3 linked regions of the Mus musculus genome follow. The protein of the gene in region 2 interacts with the protein of the main gene of each other region in a pairwise test. Links are inferred from orthologs where the notes say so. Each region holds a gene or a part of one and is shown on either strand. Other genes may lie near its edges.

Region 1 (3,644 bases), on a different chromosome or scaffold from region 2:
CATTATAAAATGCAAAGTTAAGTTCTAGTCCTTAAAAGCTGCTATAAGACTGTTTAAAATAATTAGAAATACAAGTTAATAGTCAATCAAACATATGGTCTTGTAGGAACTTCTTTATTTATTTACAAAATTAAGCTTTATTTAGAGGTAGATGTTCTCAATGTTAATCAGACAGTAAATAGAAACAATTCAGATATACTATAGACAGATGGTCTTTAAATATAGCATTTAAAGATGCTTTATTAATTTAATCCTTCTTTGATAATAAGACAGGTCAGCTCCTGGCATCACCCCTACTGGGCTTCAAAGAAGATGCTGAGCATTAGAGTTTGCTTCAAAAGTGGTAAGCTAGCCAGTGGGCAAGGAGCTACCCTTGCTTCATGCTGACAGAATGCTGCTGTCCAAACTGCACAAATGGGATGCAGGGAAGTTGCCTGCTGAGGTTTGCCAAGACAAGATGAGCAGTCCTTTTCTATTTCCTGTTTCACAAAAAGGCCTGTCAGGTATTCTGGGCTACAAAGCTACAGATGACGCTCCTATGACTCAGAGAAATTTGGGAGGCTGTCCAGACAGCCAACTGTCTCTGTCACTGTCATAGTCTAGGAGCTGCTTGCCTACACTTCCTGCACACTCAGGTAATATTTATTCCTTCTCAGGTCTCTGATGGGGTTGAAGACTAAATAGATGTTTTAAAGTCTATGCAAGTTATGGTAAGAATGATTTAAGTACAGAACTCTAAACTCACCAGGATAGGATAGATGGTAGAGTACTTTATCCAAAGTTGCCAGATACATATGGACTAGACATTATAAATATAATTCTTACCTGATAATTTTTCATATTTGTTATTATTGTATATAGTCTACTGATGGAAAATAAAAGTCTTTTATCGGACTACAGGGGAACTTATAGAGAATATGTTGTATAGTGTATGGATACATCAACTTGTCAATAAAAACTCTGGCTTATAGGAAAGGGAGAATAGAAGGTGAGACATCTGGTAAGCAGAAAGGATTCTGGGAGAGAGCCAGGTGCATGGAAATTTGCCTGGGAACATGGGGGAGGACAGACGCATGGGGTCTGAGAGGAGGTAGGCATCCATGTGGCAGAACTTAGGTTAAAATAAATGGAATATTAAAGTATGAGCTAGTAAGAGAATGAGCCACAGCTTATGGCCAAGGTATCTGTAAATATATTTTGAGTCTCAGAGTCCTTATTCCAGGGGTTTGGGGCCTGAAGGGAAAACCCCACAGAGAAAAGAGCAGGGTTGCTGTGACCCAGGCACTCACATTTCTGCAGCAGTTCTGCCCGCAGCGTGGCACTCTTAGGTTTCCGCTTTAGCTGAAAATGCTTGACTGGTGGGGTGAGGGGCCCAGCAAGGGTGGTCAGGGCATTCTTGTTCAGGTACTGGCACTCCAGTGGTAGCATGGCAGATGCCTCGCACTCACTCACTGTGGAGAGTCAGAGGGTTAGAGAAATAGTTCTTACAACCCCATAGCTCACATGTAGACAACTCCATGAAGGCTTTCATTATTTATCACTGTGACAGCTTCTTGCTTTGGTTTCAAGCCCCTATCGTCCCCACCATTCCAGTTCCACCGTCTCTAGAACCCAAGATCATCCAGGTGCATCAGGACCAAAGAATAGGCCTGTCGCCCTAGAGGAAACCTCAGATTTTCCAGGGGCTTTTTAAAAACAAGAAATGCCTAGAAAAGAAGACAGGGTTCCTCAATTATGTCAGCCATAAGCCACTGGACTCCAGTGGAGGTCCAGGAACCACAAGCATCAGCATACAGCAGCATGGAGAACAGCCTCCTGCATCCTAACTACAAGGCAGATTCAACACCAAGAGGAACAAGTGTGTGGCTATCTTATCTTCCCCTTTGACTGCAGAGCCCTGGCGGTCTCTCCTGACTTCCTCAGAGGAAGTTTTCTAAAGCCACTCCCGTGTGCTTCCTGATTCGATGTGCTCACCAAGAGGCTGGAGCCTGAAAAACTCCAAAGAGCTATCCCAGTCAGTCATCTAACTAGGGGAAGCAGAATCATGAGAAGCAAGCTGCTTCACCCTCCTGCTGTCAAGTGAACCAGCCACCACGGTAGGGATGTGACATGTGCAGACCAATGCTCTGAGTCTGCAACTAAAATCAACAAAACCCCCAAACCTCCTAGGGCCTCACAAGCAGGCCTGTAGGAGTGTGTGACCTCGAGCCTCCAACTCCATCTTTCTGAGGCATAGGTCTTCATTCTCCATCAAGGGAGAGAGCGTCAGAGGCACAGATATTCCTACTCTCACCTCTCTAAAACCACAGTTTTCATCTCATAGTCTAGAAACTGATTTGTTGGTATTTTTTAATGAGTATCTACTAAAGGACAGAGAATGTTTTTTAGGCTCAGGAAACATAACCTGTAGGGTTTTCACCCTCAAGGAACTTTTGGGGAGAGAGAGCAATGGTCAAGTAAATCATGATGAGTCAGAGCTGCAGACACAGCACATGCAGTGGGGACAGGGTTGTGGCAAGTCAGACCGAAGCAGTCATGTGTATAAGGAGCCATGGCATACTACATCAAGGGTATAATAATGACAACATAATTTCTAAAACTAGAGCACCTTCTTGCCACTGCAAAATAAAGTTGGCTACTTACCTTTTTCTCTAAGTTCTCCTAAGATGTCTTGAACATTGGGGTTCTGTTCCTCAAGGTCCAGATTCAAGGAGCCCGTGTCAGGGAAGGACTTCAGAATGTCAGCAACCATGAGGACCCAGGGGTCTGAGTCCAGCGTGGCCAGCTGGATGATATCCATCAGAGCCGCCTTCATCTGCCAAGAAAGAAGACACCAAGTACATGTCAGCAGCCCCACTTGGCCTTCGGAACAGTGACAGCTTAAAATGTCCCCTGCCGTGACTGTAGGCTGGGATGGCTTTTCAGACTGTGCCTATGCTTCCTAACTCTCTCTGGTGGGCAGATATAACAAAACATAAGATTCAAGGAAACAGGGCTGCCATGCCTATACTTACGGAATATGTGCCTTTAATGGGCATTCTTTTGGCAGGCAGAATTGGGCTCAGGTTCAGTAACATGGAGCACCAAGGCAAGTGGGTAACCCATCATTTCTTTGGTGCAAAGGAGGGACAGGGACAAGAGCTTATACCATGAGCAACTGCCACTGCTAGTAATAGATAGATGCTTGAAGTTACAGTGTGCATAGGAGAAACCTTAGAAAGCTGGGCACATGGAATGATGCATGCAGCTTATGAGCTATGGACACCTACCAGAGAGTTAGAGGGGGCCAGGAAGTCTTAGGAAGTCTTTGCTGCAGCCTGTGTGGGAGCCTGTGGCTGAAGACAAGAGGGATTTGACCTCTACCACCTACAGGTAAGAGTGCTACCTAACCTGTGCTGCTTTGTCACATTAGCTGTGGTGGTTTGAATAAGAATGGCCATGTGTGGGAAGGATTAGGAGGAGTGATCTTACAGGTGTGTGTGTGGGGAGGGCAAGTTCTCCTACGAAGTGGAGAGAGGTGTGAAGCAGAAGTTTAGCATAGCCATTGTATATGGCTAATACAATGGCTTTGAAGTAGCCTTTTGTAAATAGTCAGTGATTGTTTTCTGAGGCTGAAGGGGTGGCTCTTCTGAAGGATTCAAAGA
Region 2 (3,814 bases):
ACTCCTCGCAGGACACTTTGACTCTGATCACCAAACATACAAGGGAACCCATTTCAGTGTGGTGTCTGGAAAAGAAAATCCCACTTCTCAAGAGACCTCCCAACATGGCCAGCCCCAGGTGATTAACTTTCTTCTTGAGACAGTGTCAGAAAGCTTAGGCTGGCCTTGAAATGTGGATCCTGTCTCCTCCTACCTCCTCAGTGCTAGGGTTACAACCAGGTACCAAACATAGTTTATACTTGTGAATAACGACTGAGCCCCTAAGCACTGTACCAACTGAGTCCCAAGCACTGTACCAACTGAGCCCCAACATGCTAGCAACTGAGCTACAGCACCCCATCTTCATTTCTTGTAGATGAGGCTGTACTTTGTGGCCCAGACTGGTCTGCAATCTCCCTACCCAGGCAACCTGAATGCAGGGCTAACAGTTCAGCCTGACACTTCAATTCTGAGGATTCTGGCTCAACTCTGAAGGCATGTGACTGCCACCCCCCCACCACCCCCCCCAGCACACACACGCATACACACACACACACACACACACACATTGGCCTCACCAATGTCTTAGCAGGCTTGCCTGGTCGTGGCCACAGGACACGTGTCCACATACAGCTGAGAGATCAAATGGCTTTAATTGGGGATGGCTCCCGGGTCCAGCCTGGGTCCTGCAGCAGCGGCGGCGGCAGCTGTGTCAGCTGGGCCTGTGGTCTGCCTGTGTCTGCTGCCTGGCTTCCCTTTCTTGGTGGGCATGCTGGGTTTTTTCCCCAGTTGATGGGACCGCAGGCCTGGGGCCACTGTGTCAGTGGCAGGGACCCCGAGATGCGGCACTGGTGGTTCATCATCCAGGGCCTTGAAGCTGAAAAAGTAGTCCACATTGGCCACCGCATCTAGGATCTCGGGGACACTGTAGTCAAAGGACAGCAGGTCATCTGGCAGGTGCAGGGAGCGAATGTCGGTTGGGAAGTCATCCCCACCGCCACCACTGTCCCGCAGTCCAGGGCCAGGACCCCTGTGCAAGGCCACCTCAGGCTCAGTGCCACCAGGGAGACAATCAAAAAGTTTCATGGCATCTTCGAGAAGGACCTTGTCCGGTAGGAAGAACGCACGTGCCGCCTCGGCAGGCATGGTCTCCCCTGAGCCCACTGGGGTGACGTCCTCCACCTTGGCCACCTTGGGCTCTACAGGCCCGGGTGGGAATCGCAGACCTGGCCTGGCCACACCACTGCTCTGCAGCTCCCTGGAAGCCTCAATGGGCCTCATGGTCACCTGGGGTCCTGGGAACTGGCTGGCTTGGCCACCGAGATGGCCATAGGGCCCGGGTGGCAGCGTGTGTGCCGTGGGGACTGTGATAAGCAAGGGAGATGGCGTAGTCTCTTTGGGGGTTGGCGGAGGTGCCAGGCGGTCTCTGAGCATCTCCATGAAGTTGAGAGGCCCTCCGTCCCGCATGAAGCCCAGAGCCTCAGGCACAGGCTCCTCCGCTGGAAGGTAATGTGTGAGGTACTGTGGCCCGCTGGGGGCCGGCTGGTAGTGGGGGTACAGTAGAGGTGGTGGCCCCGGGGCCTTGAGGTAGGATGGGGCCTCCAGCAAGTAACCACCAGACAAGGCAGGACCCCCAGCCACTGCCACTTTGTACAGGGATGACTGGCCAAAGTCGGAGGTGGCCCACTCGATGCGGTAGATTCGGGGGTCGAAGAAGCAGCCGCAGGGAGCCATCTGGAAGCCTGTGGGTGGCAGACACCTGAGTGGAGCTCCATGGGGCAACCAGGCCTTGGGGAGGGGGGGCGGGATGCCCAAAGCCGAGGCACATAGGACACAGCCCTGACCTCAGAGGGGCCTTGTGACCTGGCCCTGACTACCAGTCATCTGACACAGAGAAACTGTTGGGGTTTTCTCCTCTGATGCCTCTCAGAGGAACAGCGACCTGAGTTTGGGTGCCCAGGCCTCTCAGAAAGCCTTGCCTAGTAGCAGCTGCCATCACCAAAACAGGCTTCGGCTTGGTCTCCAGTGTCACTTGAAATGTGACACATGAGTTTAGCTATAGGGAAATCTGTCTGGAGTACAGAGGGGACCCAGGGTCATTTTAGGGTCTCATCTCGGGAGAGTATGGAGCCTGCTCATAGCAGGGCTCAGGGGTGCTGGCTGATACCTGCTGGAGGGGCTGGAAGCACATCCTGGTCCGAGCCGGGGGTCTGATAGTGCAGGTTAGCATTGGCTGTGGACAAAGGTGCCCGGTGGGTGGGGCAGGAGCCCAGGCCCCATGGCCATCACACACCCCTGCCCACCACCACCATCGTACCTACGGTGGGAAGGGGTTCTGGGCCACCTGGCACCTCAGGGCCCTCCAGGCTCTGCAGGCTGAAGCCTTCCTGGGATATGGCTGGGGGATACAGGGTTTTGGGATGCTGCATGGGTGAGACAAGCCACCCCGGGGGGACCTGGGTGGCAGCAGAGGCACCTTGGGGATAGAGTCCCTCTGGGTTCTGTTTGCCCCGTTGCTAGGTGGAGGGTTCCAGTCCAGGGCAGGCTCATCACTTGGGTTCCGGGGGAGGGGGAGGGGGTGGGCAAGAGGTGACTCCCTCTGCTCCCTGAGCCAGGTCGCTGCTGCTGCCTTCACGCAAGTCACCTAATTCAAAATCACAAGGAGAGCCAGGCAGTGGTGGTACACTTCTTTAATCCCAGCATTCAGAGGCAGACAAGTGGCTCTCTTGAGTTTGAGGCCAGCCTGGTTTACACAGAGCAACCCTGTCTTGAAAAACCAAAGTCACAAGGACACTGGCCAGCAAAACAGGACACCTAAAAAAAAAAAGCCAAGTATGATGGACGGTGAGTGCCTAGGATTCCAGGAGTTCAAGGCCAGCCCAGACAACAGGAGATCTTGTCTCAAAAAACCAACAAAATAAAAGAAATGATAGAAGAATAATATTTATTGTCTGTATTGGCTACTTGTAGGCATTGGCCTTGTGCTTGGGCAGGAAGACGAAGCCAGGAGGTACTGGTCCAAGCAGCATCTCACTGTGGGGACAAAATGGACAGGTCAGGCCTGGGCCTCCCAGCATCAACTCGCAGAGCCCTGGTCTGTGAGTACCTGATGCGAATCCAGTCTGCAGCCTGCTGGCTGGCCATCAGTGTCTCCAGGTAGTCACGGCCTAAGTAATAGGGTGGCCTCTCATTGATCCTCTGTGGGGGTCGCTCGAGCAGGCCCACGGGCACATACCTGTGGGCCAGGAGGGTAGGGGAGGCAAGAAGGCCGAGTGAGGAGGCCCAAGGCTCCGATCTCTTACCCTAGCTGCTTGCCTGTCCAATGCCCACCTGCAAAGAAAAGAGAGCCACTCAAGCAGGAAGCGCCGGGTCCGCTCCACGCCCTGTGTGTCGGAGCCCCAGTGTTCTAAACCGTAGTGAGTGAAGTCCCTCAGGATGTCCAGGCGCTCGGAGGACGAGATGTCCCAGTGCCTCTGTTCTTTGATCTCCGTGAACAGCCAGGGCTTGAGCAAGGCACCACTACAGAGGGAGATGCCCAGTGAGGACTTGTGCCTCCGAGCTCTGTCCCTTCAACAGCCAGGCCTCGCCCTCACAGGAGTGCAGAAGGTCCTAGCACTGCTGCCCCAGCCCAGCTGCTGCTCACCGGGCAACCATGATCCCCGCAACGCCTGTCTGCATGGCACAGTTGGCGTCCTCAAACGAAAGGATGTCCCCATTTCCTGAGGAGACACAGTGGGGTCTTGACAGTGGCAGGCCCCATGGACATGGGGGGCATCATCAATCAGTCTGGAGATTTCCAAGGGACCCAGCATCCCTCCCAGTCTTCCCAGTTGAA
Region 3 (4,325 bases), on a different chromosome or scaffold from region 2:
CAGCAGAAGCACTGGGGTGGGGCTGAAGCAGAATGGCTCAAAGCAAAACCAGGGCCAATGGTGGCGCACACCTTCATCCCAACACTTCAACAGAAAGCAGAGGCAGGAGAATGTCTGTGAGTTTAAGGCCAGCCTAGTTAGTCTACAGATAGAGTTCTAAGAAAGCCAGGACTAAACAGAGAGACACTGACCCTGCCTCAAAAATCAATAGAGAAATAATTTGAGACCAACTTGGACAATACATCAAGACCTTGTCTCAAAAAAATTGAATAAAATTTTTTAAAAAGAATTATTTATTATATGTGTATGAGTACACTGTAGCTGTCTTCAGACAGACCAGAAGAGGGTGTCAGATCCCATTACAAATGGTTGTGAGTCACCATATGGTTGCTGGGAACTGAACTCAGGACCTCTGGAAGAACAGTCAGTGCTCTTAACCAATGAGCCATCTCTCCGGAGAGCCCATAAAATTTTTTTTAATTGGCAGGTTATGTTTATACATACAAATTTTAAGAATCACTGTTAAAATGAGGAAACACTAAGCAAATTTTAAAATTTGCATTTCAGATAATGCACTATGTCTGAACAAAGAAAATGATGCACATTAGACTTGGCACAACTCAGGGGAAAATCAACTTTGACAATCACAAAACAATAAATCTCAGTAACCATGGCCAATCAGCAGGTAACTAACTACCTCTCAGTGCTGCCTGTCGGGAGAGTGGCAGCTCTGTTTTGCCATCTCTGAAGTCTAACACTCCATAATTCTCTAAGGGCTGCTGTACACACGCGACATAGTGGAAATCATGAAAAAACCTCAGTAACACAGCAAACGGTGCTTAAAACCAACTATCGGGCCAGAGAGAAGAATATGGCTGCTCACAACCCTCTGTAACTCCTGTTCAAGGGGTATTGGTCCTCCTTTAGCATCTGAGGGCACCAGGCATGTACACACACACACACACACACACACACACGCCCGCGCGCACGCGCAGGTAAATACACTCAAGAATGTAAAAAACTTAAAAATCACTTTTAAAAGCCTGATTAGGACTAAATCATTTGTTAGGGTAGGTAGGTAGGCTTTAATTCACAAATATCAAAGTTCTCTTCTATTTCAAGCTATCTTACTTCACAAACTCCCATGGGTGATTTCTCACTTAACAATAGTTAACCTCACTAAAACCTTAAAAAGGAGTCTTTCAGCTCCCAAACTGACTCAATCTCCCTTACTAACAGTGAGGGGAAACAGGAGGGAGCAAGAAGGAAAATACTACGAACAAACCATGATCTGTGAAAAAAAAAAAACACCAAAATACAAGTAACACAAGCAAACAGGCAAAATCCACTTGTGAACTGGTCACTATCACTTACTTAGGGATGAATTCAGTCCTTTGAGTTTCCTAGTTCCCAGGGGGAGAACTTAAACAGCCCCCTACCACCAACACCACCACCCGCCCCCGCCCCCCTGGCTCCCAAGTAGCCCTCCTGGCTGCCTGATGAATACAGTGGACGTTAAAAAAGGAATGCAAACAGGGAAGGTATCTCCCTCCAAAAGAAAAGGGGATCTTAGAACGACGGAGAAAATGAACAGTGCCCAAACCAGCAGAAACTTGAAAATTATAACGGAGGAACAGCAAGAAGGGGAAGTAGATTTTTTTTTAAAGGGGGCGGAGGGACCAATGACTGGCGCTACAGATGCTTTTCGTGTCCCTAGTAGCGTAGAATGGAGACAGAAGGCAAAAACGGAAAAGTGAAAGAGAGGTGAAGAAGTCAAAAACAAAAAACAAAACAAAAAAACAACAACAACAAAACCCAGTTTCTCTAGCCTCTTTCTGAGTGTCAACAGCACCGAAAGATGACGTTGAACGCGCTTCGGCTACCCGGCAAACTGCACTGCTATAGCTTTTGAACACAGCCTAAAATCCCTTTCTTACCAACCCACACGACCTAAGAGTGTTGCAGGAACCAACGGGGCTCTCTCCCCAAAATTCCTTCCTTCCAGCATTCCTATCCGCTGCTGCTGCTGCTTCCCCCCCACCCCCCAACAAGTATTTTTTCCCCCTCAAGTCCTTCTAAAAAGAGAAGCGCCCAACTCTCACAAAGACCCGTCGGCGGGTCCGGGTAACAATCATTCTAAGTCACGGTGGATTCCCGCACACAATTCCACCGCAAGATGCCAAGAGGCGGTGACGTGGTGGCCTTGCAGGTCAAAGGAGCATCAATCACCACGTTAGCTGCGGGCACCGAATCCCCCGCCTCCCGGGCTCAGTCAGCCTGACTCAGAGCAGCAGCCTGCGCCTCTCGGCTGCTCCGGGCTCCCCAGCGTCCAGCCGGACGGCCGCCACACCAGACCTCCCCGGCGGGCCGGGTCTCTGCCCCCAGCGGGAGGAAGACCGGCACCAGGAAGGAAGCGCCCCAAAAGGGGAAACGAGGAGACGGCTGCGCAGCCGCTGCGCTCGGGTCCCAGCCTTCCCCGGCCCGCGAGCGGCCCTCCCCGGCAGCCCCGAGCAGCCCGGGCCCGAGCCGCTCGCCGCCGCGCGGCGCGGGGACCACGGAGCTCCCGCTCACTTCCCGCCCGCTCCCCTGCACTCACCGTGACGCGCCGTCCACTCCGTCACCCGGCCCGGCCCGCCCTGCGCTGCCGCCCGCAGCCGCCAACCTCGCTGCTGCTCCCTGACTGCGGCGCCCGCTGCCCCGACCGCCGTCCCGGCCGCAGCCCCGCTCGCTCTCGCCGCCGCCGCCGCCCGATCGCAGAAGCAACAGAGCAACCTAGCTTCCGCTCCTCGCCAGGGTCCCGCGAGAACTTCCCCACGCGGCCCCGCCCCGCCGCGCCCCGCCCCCGCGAGACTTCCCCCGGCGGAAAAGGCCCAGAGCGCAAGCGCTCCTCCTCCGCTCCGCCCGGCAGGTAGCCTAGAGGGGGGCTTCGCGCATGCGTCAGCTCGGCCCGCAGCAGGTGGCACGGACTCGGCTCCGCCCCTGGGCCGTTGTAACCCTCTACGTGCCGGAGCAAGTGAATTACAGCTCTGCTCTAGAGGAACGGCGCTTTCCACACTCTAATCACGTCCTTTCTACCAAAACAAAGCAAAGAGGCACCGAGGAGCGGGGAGAGATCTCAGGATGGCTCAACCCAAATAGAGGACCAGTTCTAGAAACGTTTGGGGATCTGGTTCGTGCAACCTGCAGTATTCGATGAATTGTTTGATTAGTCTGTTCACGCAGTGAACCACATACCCAGTGTAAGTAAGCACTGTGCTGGGTAAAGAAGATGAAACAACGAGCAGAGATCCTGGCCTTCAAGAGGTTAAATCGAGAGAAGCAGCAGAAGAGTAAACAAGTAATGTCTTGGCTGGAGAGACCTCTCAGGTCAAAAACTGCTTGCTGCTCTTCCAGAGGACCTGCACCCACACCAGATGGCTCACAACTGTCTGTAACCCCAGTTCCAGGAGACTTAGTGCCGCTGGCCTCTGATAGCACTAGCATTCACCTGCACACACCCTCATGCGCGCGCGCGCGCGCGCGCACACACACACACACACACACACACACACACACACACATACACACACAGCTATAACACTTACACATAGCTCTTTGGGGGAATGCTGAGGAAGCCAAAAAGATAGAGAAAGGCTGGCTCTGTTCCTCAGCCCACTGTATAAAAGACTTAACAAAGAAGGTGATGTGGAACTGAGTACTGGAGGGCGAGTAGGAGTTCCACAGCACAGGAGCCAGGGTAAGCGCTTAGCCAACAAACGGAATGGCACAGAACAGAGAGATGGATGGAGGCGTGAGAAAGTCGTGTTCTGTGCGATGCAAAGTGCATAGATAGGTTCCTGTGCGGGGCTGCCGGTTTTGGGGGAGTAGTAGATGAAGCTTGGAGAAGTACCTCTCAGTTCCAAAAGCTCTTTTCAATTATAGGAGAGCAAGAACACAGCCAATGTCAATGTGTTCTCTAGAAGCCAACAAAATACAGTTAAGAATACCCAAGCCTCTGCTACAATAATGAGTCCACTAAAATAAGGCAAGTGAATTGTTCTTTCGACAAGTGTTTACTGAACATCATTTGCAATTGAAAATGCCTTTCAGAGCAAAAGATGAAGCCAATGACTCCAGCAGTTTGCGATTTAGATAGAGCTACTTAGTTTCAAAGAGAAGAACGCTGGCCCTAAGTACCAGGGACCTACATATTAGAATGACCAGTTACAAAAGGGAGAGCTGCCCGGCAGAGGTGGTGCATGCCTGTAATCCCAGCACTTGGGAGGCAAGGCAGGTGGATTTCTGAATTTCTGAGTTCAAGGCCAGCCTGGTCTACAGAGTGAGTT

What was found.
Region 1: the proteins of Prr22 (region 2) and Nelfa interact in a two-hybrid assay, tested with the Homo sapiens proteins (2 studies listed by BioGRID). The two-hybrid records come from large-scale screens. The link is inferred for Mus musculus from reciprocal best matches to the Homo sapiens genes PRR22 and NELFA.
Region 3: the proteins of Prr22 (region 2) and Grb2 interact in a two-hybrid assay, tested with the Homo sapiens proteins (2 studies listed by BioGRID). The two-hybrid records come from large-scale screens. The link is inferred for Mus musculus from reciprocal best matches to the Homo sapiens genes PRR22 and GRB2.

What each region holds. Positions count from the first base shown.
Region 1 is NC_000071.6:33,919,203-33,922,846, forward strand, and holds part of Nelfa (negative elongation factor A), read right to left. Parts: intron 2,816-3,644; coding exon 2,644-2,815; intron 1,452-2,643; coding exon 1,290-1,451; intron 1-1,289. UniProt on the Homo sapiens protein: Essential component of the NELF complex, a complex that negatively regulates the elongation of transcription by RNA polymerase II.
Region 2 is NC_000083.6:56,768,934-56,772,747, reverse strand, and holds Prr22 (proline-rich protein 22), read right to left. Parts: upstream 2,473-3,814; 5' UTR 2,409-2,472; coding exon 2,297-2,408; intron 2,213-2,296; coding exon 2,147-2,212; intron 1,722-2,146; coding exon 631-1,721; 3' UTR 614-630; downstream 1-613. Other genes in the region: Dus3l (tRNA-dihydrouridine(47) synthase [NAD(P)(+)]-like), read right to left, coding at 2,940-3,012, 3,086-3,214, 3,310-3,498, 3,623-3,698.
Region 3 is NC_000077.6:115,705,798-115,710,122, forward strand, and holds the start of Grb2 (growth factor receptor-bound protein 2), read right to left. Parts: upstream 2,801-4,325; 5' UTR 2,597-2,800; intron 1-2,596. UniProt on the Homo sapiens protein: Non-enzymatic adapter protein that plays a pivotal role in precisely regulated signaling cascades from cell surface receptors to cellular responses, including signaling transduction and gene expression.